Drosophila melanogaster: one gene and its partners. The protein of the gene in region 1 interacts with the protein of each later gene in a pairwise test. Each region holds a gene or a part of one and is shown in the gene's direction. Other genes may lie near its edges. The genes, in order: CG17377, dsx and CG34168.

Region 1 (3,681 bases):
AATTTTATAACATTTTCCATATAGAAATTGCTAAGTGTAATGAAATATATTAAAATGTTTATTATGTAGATAAAGAGATGCTTTTAAATGCTGTTACCTTTACACTACCAATTTTGTTATAGAACTAAAATAATAATCTTTCCAACTGACTTATAATTTGGAACCGTTCTTGGCGGCCAACAGGATATTGAGGACATCGTCGGCACAGCCCCAGCACAAAGTGACTCCACTGCCGCCATGTCCATAGTTGTGGATGAGGAGCTTGCGGCCGCGGCGCTCGGCTTCCAGTCGGAGTTGGGTGCGACCCGGCCGGAGACCTACCCAATCAAAGAGGCACTCCGTGTGCTCCAAACCAGGAATGTACCGCTGACAGCCATCGACGATCATCCGCCTGTCGTTCTGGCAGACTTTAGTGTTGTAGTCCCGCTCCTGATGGGTTCCGCCCAGGACAACACTTTCGGTGCTTAAATATTTCAGATATTGGAATACGAACAAATAAGTGTAACTGGCAAATACTCACTTGGGTATAATATAGTTGCCATCATCACTCTCGTCCAGCACGGCAGAGAAAATCCAGTTGGCCCTCACCCGGGAAACTTGGCCACGCACTGCGTACATTTGATCGTCGTTTAGTAGGGTCTTAGAGCCCAATCCGGAGCAATTGACTATCACATCGTACTCGGAATCGGCTACAAATGCATCCAGGTCTGTAATCCTTTTCCGGACAACAACACCTCCATTTCGGGTGAAACGCTTCATCAAATACGGCAGTAGCTTAATGGGCTCCGAGGTGTAGGTAACAAAGGATAAACCAGACCTAGATATGGTTTAGATATGTTCATATTTCAGCAAGTATAAATCTATGGATATCTATGAATATTCTTACGTGAACTTAACGCTGCGACCTTTATTGTAGGCAGCCAGCTGTTCCTTGGACAGATCCACTGCTCCATAGACAATGTCACGCCAAAAATCTTCGACCGTGTCCACCGTTGAGGTGCTCAGCCGAATGCAGGGTAGCAGACAAACGCCAGCCTCTCCGGCATCCTCGCTCAGCCAGATCTTCTCCAAAAATTGGTGCATGCTCTTCGACCACTTGCTGATGGAAAAAAAGTTATAAGTAAGAATATAATATAGTGACTAGTAAAACTTACTAGACTTTCGCCTGCGAAGTGCCGCCCAGAAGGTACGGACCCCAGAGACCAGCCGAACCATCTCCAGTTGTGTTAGGCGTGAAGTCCTCCGATATGATCGTCACCTTTATGGGTGTCTTTCCATCGTTCACATAGTGTTCCAGTATCTTAATGGCACTGGCAACACCATTAACCCCGGCACCGATAACTGCAATGTTAGGCATTGCTCCAATCCGATCAGCTTGGGAACTTGGAATGAACTGAAAAGAGGATCGCTTATCAGAATTGTAAGCAAATCGCATAATACAATTAGCTGATAACAGAGCTTTTAAAAAGAGCGAAAAAGCTTTTTGCATTTTGAATCTAATATTAACTCTTTCTTAAAATCTAGTAGGCTATAATTCCAACAAGTTGGCCTTGCATTTCATCTCAAACGGAACCGAATATGTGTGTTGGGATGTGTTGATCATTCCTCATTCGATACCAAACTCTCGGACCTTTCGTTTCGGCCAGCTTCTAAATTTTCCAAATTCCAAATTTTTCTTCCAAATTAATTTGACCAAATAGAGTAAGTTTATCCCGGGAAGACCATAGTATATTTTTAAATCCTTTGTCCTGTAGCGCTCGACGGGCTCAAGATGTGTGACGGATGTGGATCGTTGGAGGTGAGTAACCATATGCAACACACCACTGACCACTTGTGACCACTATGTATGCATCCTTTCCAGCCGCGCGGATGCCGCAGTCGGGAGTTACGATGCGGCATCATGTACACCACTTGCGACTGCGTGAAGCGGAACGGTCTGCAGGACAAGTGCCCGCGGTCCGCCTGCCAGGGCCGACCGGCCTGCCTGTGCTTCCCCTTCCCCACCTGCGGTCCGGCGGCATTCCCGCTGCGCTACGCTAACATGATGATGGGCGTGAACAATAAGCGTATGCGCTGTGCCGCCACTGGAGCACCAAATGGCGGTGCCGGATGCGGTGGACGCGTTGCCGGCGGCTGCTGTGGATGCGGTCCCTGCTGCTGTAATGTATCGCCCTGCTGTGGCCCGCACAGTCCTCCATGCTGTGGCTCGCACAGTCTTCCATGCTGTGGCCCGCACAGTCCTCCATGCGGAGCTCCGTCGCCCATTCCTTGCTCCTCTGCTCCGGGCATGTGCTGCCCTCCGCTGCCTGAAGGCGGCATTCCCGATCCGCGTGTCTGGAACTACTATAACGCACCTGTGACGTACCCATGTAAGTCCGGTCCAGGTCCGTCCACCTGTCCGCCTGTCTGTCCGTCTGCTTGTCCATCTGTCACGGCGCTGGGCGTCCGTAGAACGTAAAAACCATGGAGCGGAGGAGCACGAGGCATGCCCAAGGACTTTGCAGGTCACAGCATCTGGAACATGTGCTTGTGGTGACGCTTCATGTCCTTTTGCAGGAGCTTTATGCCCACTACGCTGATCCGTCAACAATGATAGCATGTCCTGGGCTTTGTGAGCGTAGAGGTAGGATCCATGGACCAAATGCTGTTGCCAGGCCCCAAATCCTTCATGACCCTTTGACCTCCATCCGCATCCTGTCGCGTGTAAGTAACTGCGATACCTTCTGCATTCACTGGTTTTACCTTTCTCATCCCACAGGTGGCTTATAAGTATTTCCTGGCAAGTGTTTCGATCGGATCCTGATATGGGCCACTTCCTTGGCGGGACATGTTGTCGTTTTGTGACGTAGTTTTGGTTGATAAAAAATTGAAGTTGGCTTAAATCAAGATTTAGCCAGCTGCGGAATACCCATTACTAGAAGGGCTCGAAGCTATTTGGGAACCCATGTGCAATTCGTCAGACGGTCTTGATTTAAACACAAAATCATATGTTGGTATCTGGAATCTATTTGGCATTAAATTACAAATAAACAAATTGAAATTATATTCTGTGTATTATGGGGGGTGTTAAAGGTTGCGTTTATTTTATGGCTGCACTTATGCTTCGAATATTTATATTTTAAGCCTGGCATTAGAATTGTAAATTAAGGTTGAAACCTTATGCCAAGGCCATAAAAATTTACGTTCATATGTCCCACAGATATTCTGATATTTATATTAATTAATATCAATTTTATTAGGGTGGGTTTCCGTGGCATTTAAGATTTAATTAATTAAAAGTTGAACTTTGCTGATAGTACTTTGTTTTAAACCCATTTTTTCGAGCTGGGAGAGCCATGTTCCAATCTTAGTGAGTTAGTTGACCTAAACAATTCGCGGGTCAAATATTTTGTTTTAGTGAATAAGGCAAATATAGATATATAATTATGTAGATCTGTGGCGATTTCATAATCTTTGCTAAGTCGAAGTAGGCCATGAAATTTCATAAAGTTGGCCATGACTTTTAAGCCAACCCGAACCGAAACTTGAACTGGATGTGCTGGGCCAAGGGAACAGCTAACCTCATTCGATATCTGACTCTCGGACCAGTCGCTTCGACTTCTAAATTTTTTTCTAAATTCCAAATTTACTTTTTCGATAATAACTCAACCAAAAAAGTGAGTGTTAAGTATTTGTTCAAAA
Region 2 (5,065 bases), on another chromosome or scaffold:
GATGTCGTCGCTGTGTCGTGTATCTTTGGTGCGGCTTTCGAGGTGACAACTGCGACAGCTAAACGTCAATTTGTATAAATGTTTGCAATTGCCACCGATGCGTCGGTTGTGGTGAGTGTGGAGTTGTTAAAAATAAAACACACTGAACGCTGATGATCGATGCGGGGGTCGCAAAGGTCCTACAAGGAAAAAAGAGTATCTGTCAGATGCAGAGAGTGGAACTGGGAGCAAGAGAGCAGATCATAAATAAATATTTCCTTAGCAATTTGCATTTTTTCTGACCGCCCGAGTGTTTGTTGTTTGCCGTTCTGCCCCAAGTTTGTTGGCGTTTTTTGAGAGCGCACTCGGCCAAACGAGTTTCGATTCGGATGCGTATCCGCGAGATACTCTTCCCGCGCCGCTCTTTGCTAATTGATTTATGAGATTGCAAATGCAGATGCCCCCAGCCAAGCTCTTTCGACACTCCGCCATAAAAAGGGCTAAAATTTGTGCGATCCAAGGTACAAGAAATGGTGCAAGAAATGCGCCTTTAAAGCTATGTGAATTTTATCGTTCTACAATCGGCACGGGATCAATTGGTGAAGATGTAAATCGGATTTGGATGAAAAATGTATCCCCTTGCCTATGCAATATATACAGTTTCATGCAAATCAATGACAAAGCCTTCCGCTCTCACTTTCGTAAACATTTTTTAAATAATATGTTGTAGTACCCTAGTATGCAATTATATTAAGTTTTCACATTACCTCGATGATATTGATAGTTAATATAATAAGTAAGTAATTTTCTTTAAATTCAATTTTTGTATGAGCAAGTCAAAATAATTACATAAATTCATTAAATTTAAGTCACTTTATCACTTCATTTATTTAAATATTAAATTAATAACTTTTGTCTCTGAAACACTAAACGAGAATCAAAAACGGTTAATTAATGAGTATTATCTTAATGTTTTCTGATCGCTGAGCCATTCATTCCCCTACAATTTGGTCACCAATGGGAAACTACTGAAGTACCGAAGGCCCTTTCGAAATCGATTCACTGCCCAAAAATCGAACTCTCGACCATTTTTGGTTACCTTTTTGGGAGTTGCGTGCATCGCCTGAGGGAAGTATCTTTTAATGGAGCCGAGCTTCGGCAAAATTATCTCCGCCGTACTGTATAAACGATCCTGACTAATATAACGGCTGACGATGAAAGGGGACCTTTCAATGTGATAAATGCGAGTGCGACACACGCAAATCGCTGCGTCTAAAGGTGGCATAAATACGCGGCGCAGGCCGAAACCCAGCTGAGTGGTTCGACCTATATCGTCGGCTAGACGCCCAAACCCGATTCGATGCTCCCCATATCTGGCGCTTCTTCTTCTCGCGCCACGCGGAAAGAGAACGGAAGAGAGAGAGAGAGCGACCAGAGTGCAAATTTACGATCGGCACATGCAGGCGGGAGACGTCAATGTACGGCAACAAAGTTGCTCCACTCGAGCTTCTCGCAGAGATTCGCAAAAAAACACGCGAACTTCAAGAGAGAATCGCTCAGAGAGGAAGAGCACGTCTTCGATGTTTTATGCTCCCCATTAATGGGGCAAATGCACTTTACACTCTCGCAGACCCGTTTCTCTCCGTAACTCTCTGTTGCCCAAGATGCTTTCGTTTGAGTTCTTCACATACCAACGTTGCTTCGAGCTTATGAGTTTGCTAAAAATCGTGGGAACCGATGAAAGAAATGCCCTTCTATCGTATAAATGTTTCTGTTTAAAAACTATTTACTTAGTATTTAAAATAATTGACCGTTTTTCGTATTTCACATATTAAATAGCAACACAGAAGTAATGAATATTTTAAAACATTTTCCGTTCAAATACATAATTTTTTAAAATACATTTTATTTGGCTGATATTAGCGGAAATTAGCCCTTAAAAGTATGCAACGCAGGTAAGGAGAATTAAGTATCCGCAGTGCGGAACCTATATTTTTCGCGGCGAATTTAGCTCATATTACATACGATTTAATAGTTTGCAATACTTTTTTATAGTTCATAGTTCATATTGTAAGAATTGTGTTTAAATTATGTTATTTTTAGCATGGTTTACTTATGGAAAAGAGCATAGTTAAGGGTTTACAATGAAAACGGTCAAATAAGGGTATCCATATCTGGTACCAAACCAATTTGCTTTCTCCCAGTTGATGTGCAGTGCATCCAGCAGTCGAGCAGGTTGGATGCTCGCACTCGTTTCTTTTTTCGCGGTGCAGCAACCAGAGTGCAAATACAAATAGCAAGAGCGTTGCGTCGCCAGTCGGTGGGCCCGTCTCTGTGCCAGAAACACATGCTCAGTTTTAGGTCCGCCCGTCCGCCTGAATGTCCGTGTATCTGTCCGCTGTCTTTTGGTCTGCTAGTCGGACTGGTACTGGTCCGAGTGTTAGTATCGTGCACGGGGAGCTTTAGCTTTGTGGCCGCAACCAGTTTGCTGGCATCGATCGTCCTTTGCAGGTCGTGCATGTCGCGTTGGCGTCTCGCGCCGTCCGCGTTCCGTGCTCGAAATCACAATCTCAAGCTGAAGTGAAAAGAACTGGAGCGGATTCGGTACAAAATTCTGTGCGATAGTTTTTAGTTGCTGTGCGAGGTCCGAAAATATCTCTAAAATGCGTTGACCTACAGGGAACCAGATCGAGCCGCGAGTGCCATGCTAAACAAAGTCGTTTGCGGCTACAGCTTGTACGGTTTAAGATAACAAATAAAAGAAATAAATTTTTACCGGCTTCACACTCTCACTCTCGGTCCACGAAGCACTCCTGACCGTCTCGTACCCAGCCGATCGGACTCCCCGTATCTCATCGAGTTCGCCGAGTGCTAGTGCTATATTCTCTCACTTTGCTTGCATAACCAAGAGCAAAGCACACCTCGCGGAGGCAGATCGCAGATGCAGATACAGATACATATACTGCTAGTGGTCTAGTAGTGGACCTGGAGATACTCTAGCGAGTGCATGCAATTGGCATTGTACCTGGTAAGTGAACGATGAGTTACGAGCGCTCTGCGGCCAAAATGTGCCACCACTCCGCTCCGTTTTGCCACCTTTTTGCCCGGCATTTGGGGGCGTTGCAAACTGCCTTGTAATTGCCTGACATAAATGCTCGTGTGTACAAGGCTTAATGGCGATAGCAGCAGGTACGCTCAGCGATTGCCATCTACAACTGGCGGTATGACTGCTGAATGGGGGGGAGCCAGGGGTTCAGGCTATTGTCTGACTTCCAAATTAAACAGGAAACGAGCAACAGGTCGCGTTTTACAGCCACACTATGAGACTCCCGCATTAGTTTCTAAGATTGGGATAGCGTAGGCCATTGCCATTGTCGTTTGCGATCGGCTATCCTAGATGACTGCATACATATAAGGCAAATTGGACCAAGGTCTAAGTGGTTATGAGGAAAATGCAAATGACAAATACGGAAACCAACTGGCTTAAAACGATAAACACGTGCTGAATATTTTTATTCAAATTAAAGTTGAAGCGAAGGCGTTTCTTGTTAATTTTAAAGCTTACCATCGATTATTCACGAGTGCTGCAATTATAAAAAATATATGTAAATTAGAACTTAAATTTTTGCCAATGCTCATTGTGTATAGCGCGAAAGGACAGTTTACCTTTAATATTTTGTGTTATCTTGGGGATAATTATTCATTTCTTTTGGCTATTATTCTTGTCATTTGTAGTCGAAATAACATAGTTAGCCTTGCTAAGTTAAAACTCATATTTTAGTGGGCGTAAGAGATCATTAGTAGAAACTGCAGCTTGCTTTCACTCACGAAATCTCGACTTTCATGAAGACGGATGACGCAAATGGCAAGATCGAGTACACCTGTCTGTAGTCTTAAAAAAAAAGGTATAAGAACCTAGCATGCCGTTTGACTCCTCAGCAAACATGCAGACTTTTTACTCATAGATTTATATTAAGTAAGTTATTAAACCATATTAGCAAGACGAATATTTTAGTATAATATAAATCTGAGCTTGGTACATTTTCCCAAGAATATATACAAATATAAAATACCTGTAAATGCATTTTTCTTAGTGCACAGTTATAATGATCTGTACTCAACTTTTTAAGCTGCACCCCACTTGCAATTATCATATAATCGACTTAAGGTGCTTTTGCCATTTATAACGCCGAGCTGTCCTTGGCCCATTAATAACCTGAAGTGGGTTCTTATCGTGATCTCTTCCGCTTTAGACAAATTAATTGAGCATACATGCGCAAGCTGCACATTTTTTATGCTCGCCCGTAATCAATTTAATCCGCTTTTCCTTTGGCAACTTTGACCACTGTTTCCCTGCTTATATTTGTCATTATTTCCACCAAACACAAATATTGAAAACTGATAGCCAGCAGGGTCTTTCTCTTAAAGTGGCTCTTCGGAGGAATTATTTCTCTGCGGGTCTCTCAGCTCATACAAATTAGAGGCGACATGCAAGATAAGCAATCTTGTGCAGTTTTTAAACACACAGGCAAAATAACAACATTTTGCCGTGGCCAGCGGGAGGCGGTGGAAGAAGGGGGCGGGTATCTGGTGCTAGCACGAATGTGAGACCCGTTATCAGCACATCGTTCATGCTCAATTTACCCTCCATTTAAATACAGGGTATTAACTCTTTAGACTCCGAAATTAAGTCATTACAGCAAACGAAAATTGAGACAGACAAACGCTCACACTACATGTCACCTAGCTAATAGATTAAAATTCTCATCGATACTGGCTTTCGTCTATGTCACATATATTTCTCCCTATCTTTCGTTCATTAGGTTCTAATCAATCGTCAAACATTTTGAGTGTGAATCTGTGTGCATAGGCAAGTTCAATGAGTCACCATAATGTCAAACTAAGTGCAAATTAGATTAAACACGAATCAAACACGCCAGCAGGTGTGGAGAAAGTGGACAAGAAGTGTAGAAGAATCTTATATTCCCTATCTATATAATATAGAAATATTAACCACATTCTTCCCATGTATACTTTTTACTTATATTACTTATATTATTTGGTTTTTTTATTATTGATATGTAAT
Region 3 (2,938 bases), 9.3 Mb from region 1:
GCACTTGTAGCTTTCCTCATATGTATGTATATTTTAAAATTTATTGTGCAATTATGCATTATTAGTTATGATTAAACATTTTAATGGAGTTTTCTTCCGCTTTTAAGCTGTGAGTTACAAACAAATAAATCAAAAACATAAGAACGGAACCAAAAACTTATCGCTCCAAAACTTCCGCTGCACGGACGCTCATAAAATGGGGGACATTGAACTTCTGAGCGGGCTGAAAAAGGCATTGCTGAAAACTGTAAAAATACCAGCGAAGAAGCCGGAAAAAAACAGTGGAAAAAAGTCACATCAACACGAAACATTAAGCTTCACAGTCACAACATATTCGGCTCTTCGATGCATTTTCCTTAAAGTCGCCATGGAGTTCAAATCGAATGGGAGCGCACGCGCCTGCGAATATGCAATGCTGTAATACGAGACCAACACGCGATGGAGATGATGTTTGGTTACGGAAGGGGATACGGGAATTTTCCCGGGGTATTCGGGGTTCCGGAATCGGAACAGAAAATAAGCTCAACCAGACCCAAAAGGCCACCAAACGAACGGGCTATTTACGAAGGGCGGAAGTGCTTTAATTTAATGTTGGTAAAAGATAAGAAGTTAATCCGATCAAATTTTCTTGGCCTTTCCTTCATTTAATTCGATTAAGTAATAGATGAGATAGTGATGTTGGAAAATCGATGTACATGAGCTTTATAAGTAAATAAACTTGTAAAATGTACAGAATTCTTCATCCTTCAGAGTTTTTTTTACTTATTTTCTTAAACTCATAAAAATTAGGAACTTCGAGATGGATTAATTTACACTCAGCCTTACAGCTTATTTGGGTGAAAACGTGAAAAGTGTTGGGGTAATCGACTCAATTAGCTATTGCATAAGCACACTTTGCACACTCCCGCGCCAGCCAAACAAACACCAAACTCAATTAGATGCCATAACTAAATAATCACAAACACATTTACGCCAGCAAGAGCTCTTTTCAGTTGAAGCAGACCGGTTGGTAACCAAGAAACGTGGCAAAAAAAAAAGAAAAGAAAACAGAGAACCAGGTCAACAACAGAAACAACATGAGCAACAATTTTGAAACAATGAAATGACGACAACGACAGAAGCGGCAAGGCATGCCTGGAAAATTGCTTCCAAATGCTCAGAAGCCAGAGTGGAAATATGGGTAGAGTCGGAAAAGTGGGTGGCCTGGGTGGCTGGGGGACATTCCAACATGTGACGCACGTGACAAAACTTGTCAAGTGACTTTACTTCACTTTGACTGCGAATCCCGGCTCTGTTGTCCGTAAACAAGAAGACGGAATCCCGGCTGTGAAGAAAAATAGGTTTGTGTGCATTGCCCAACACAAAATGCTTAAGAAAACTCTGCTCTTGGTAAAACAATGAAAGGTGGGGCAAAGAGGAAAAATCAGTCGCGGCTTGGCTTTTCCGACTTGTTGCGCCTTCGGCTAAATTATGACATCGAGAGTTTTAGGGGAATGGGAAGTCCTTCGGGACGGACTGAAGTATTTTTGGAGGAGCAATGGAGTGGAATTTTATGGGACACACAAACAATCGGGAACGGTTTTATGAATTAAAATTCTTAAAGCGAATTAGATAAGAGGCTAAGAGGCTAACTGTATATATAGTTAATCAAATTTTAAAATTTGGAAAAAAGCATTTTAAAAGCAGGCCATGAAACCACAACATAGAAGGCCATGAAATCAAAGTTAAATCTGTAGAACTTTGTGGACCAAGCTAGTGGCTTTAGCTCATTATAGTTTCGGTTCTCCAACAGAAAACATCTATTTGTACGACTACCAAATTTCTAGGACTGAAAATCCTACTTCCGTAATCAGGCTAATGTGAGTGTGAACAACAAACGAATTTGTTTCTTGAAAATATCCTCGATTCGTTTCATTTCGTTTTCAGAATAAAATGTGCAATCCAGGAATGTGCTCGATGCCCGGCACTTGCTGTGGACCGACTGGCGGACTGGGACCCTGCCTGCTCTGCGGACCCTACAATGGCCAGTGGTTCCGTTCGGTCAACCACTGTTGCGGTCCTTGTGGCCCATATGGTTGCTGCTCATGCTACGGGCCGTATGGTGGACATTGTTAGCCTGCTTAGAAGGAATGTAGGGTTTCTTTATCCGCGATCTGGAACAGGAGCTTTAAAGATTGCAGCCGTGAGGCCTTGTCGAAGATGAGGAGCCACGCTGAAAAGTTGTCAGGCAAAGTGGATCCAAAGATTTGTGTTCGATGAAAGATTATGCCATCAGAAATAGATGTTAATAAATTATACGTATAATTCAAAAATAGACCACTTTAATTTCACTTCACATGTATTGCTATCAACAGTTAGCAAACCTAATTAAATATTTGGCATGCATTCTGTGGAAACAATCACAAAATTCCATCTCGTAATTTGCCGTTTTTGGTTTTCTTTTCAGTCCGCCGGGTGCATTTAAGGCTAAACCCCATTTGATTGTAAATATTTGGCTCGTTTACGGCTAACGATACATCGGGGACCAGCCAAAAAGACGTGTAATGCTAATGGGCCTGTTGAGTGCAAATTTGTTTACGAGTAAAACACCACTAAAACAGATGGGCTTGCTGATTGCTTTCAATTTTATTTAATCGAGGCACCCCGCATCAGATCGACCAGAAAAATTGATATCGTTAAACATAGTGAACAACAGAAACGGTAAGTTTAAAGAGTATATCATCGTGATACGGCTACTTGGTGCGTTTGAGTGCTTTGCTAAGACTGGGGAAATACTCGTCACTGTTGAGATCAGGAGCTTGAGGTTTTCCGGACATCTTGGATGGAACCTTACGCAGACGGCTCTCAGCCTGATCCCGTCGATTGAAGTCACCTTGGCTCTGGCGGAGAGCAGGTGGTATGTAGATTTGGCTCTTTACCTCGGACGGTTCTTTCTTAT

What was found.
Region 2: the proteins of CG17377 (region 1) and dsx interact in a two-hybrid assay, tested with the Drosophila melanogaster proteins (2 studies listed by BioGRID).
Region 3: the proteins of CG17377 (region 1) and CG34168 interact in a two-hybrid assay, tested with the Drosophila melanogaster proteins (2 studies listed by BioGRID).

What each region holds. Positions count from the first base shown.
Region 1 is NT_033779.5:6,800,728-6,804,408, reverse strand, and holds CG17377 (uncharacterized protein), read left to right. Parts: upstream 1-1,619; 5' UTR 1,620-1,701; intron 1,702-1,754; 5' UTR 1,755-1,771; coding exon 1,772-1,798; intron 1,799-1,861; coding exon 1,862-2,458; 3' UTR 2,459-2,556; coding exon of another isoform or gene 2,557-2,558; 3' UTR 2,559-2,701; exon of another isoform or gene 2,702-2,703; intron 2,704-2,758; coding exon of another isoform or gene 2,759-2,769; 3' UTR 2,770-3,031; downstream 3,032-3,681. Other genes in the region: Daao2 (D-amino acid oxidase 2), read right to left, coding at 151-463, 521-817, 887-1,099, 1,155-1,357.
Region 2 is NT_033777.3:7,964,405-7,969,469, reverse strand, and holds the start of dsx (doublesex), read left to right. Parts: upstream 1-2,061; 5' UTR 2,062-3,007; intron 3,008-5,065. UniProt on the Drosophila melanogaster protein: Controls somatic sexual differentiation. Binds directly and specifically to the FBE (fat body enhancer) of the yolk protein 1 and 2 genes (Yp1 and Yp2).
Region 3 is NT_033779.5:16,134,083-16,137,020, reverse strand, and holds CG34168 (uncharacterized protein), read left to right. Parts: upstream 1-1,748; 5' UTR 1,749-1,859; intron 1,860-1,926; 5' UTR 1,927-1,932; coding exon 1,933-2,115; 3' UTR 2,116-2,307; downstream 2,308-2,938.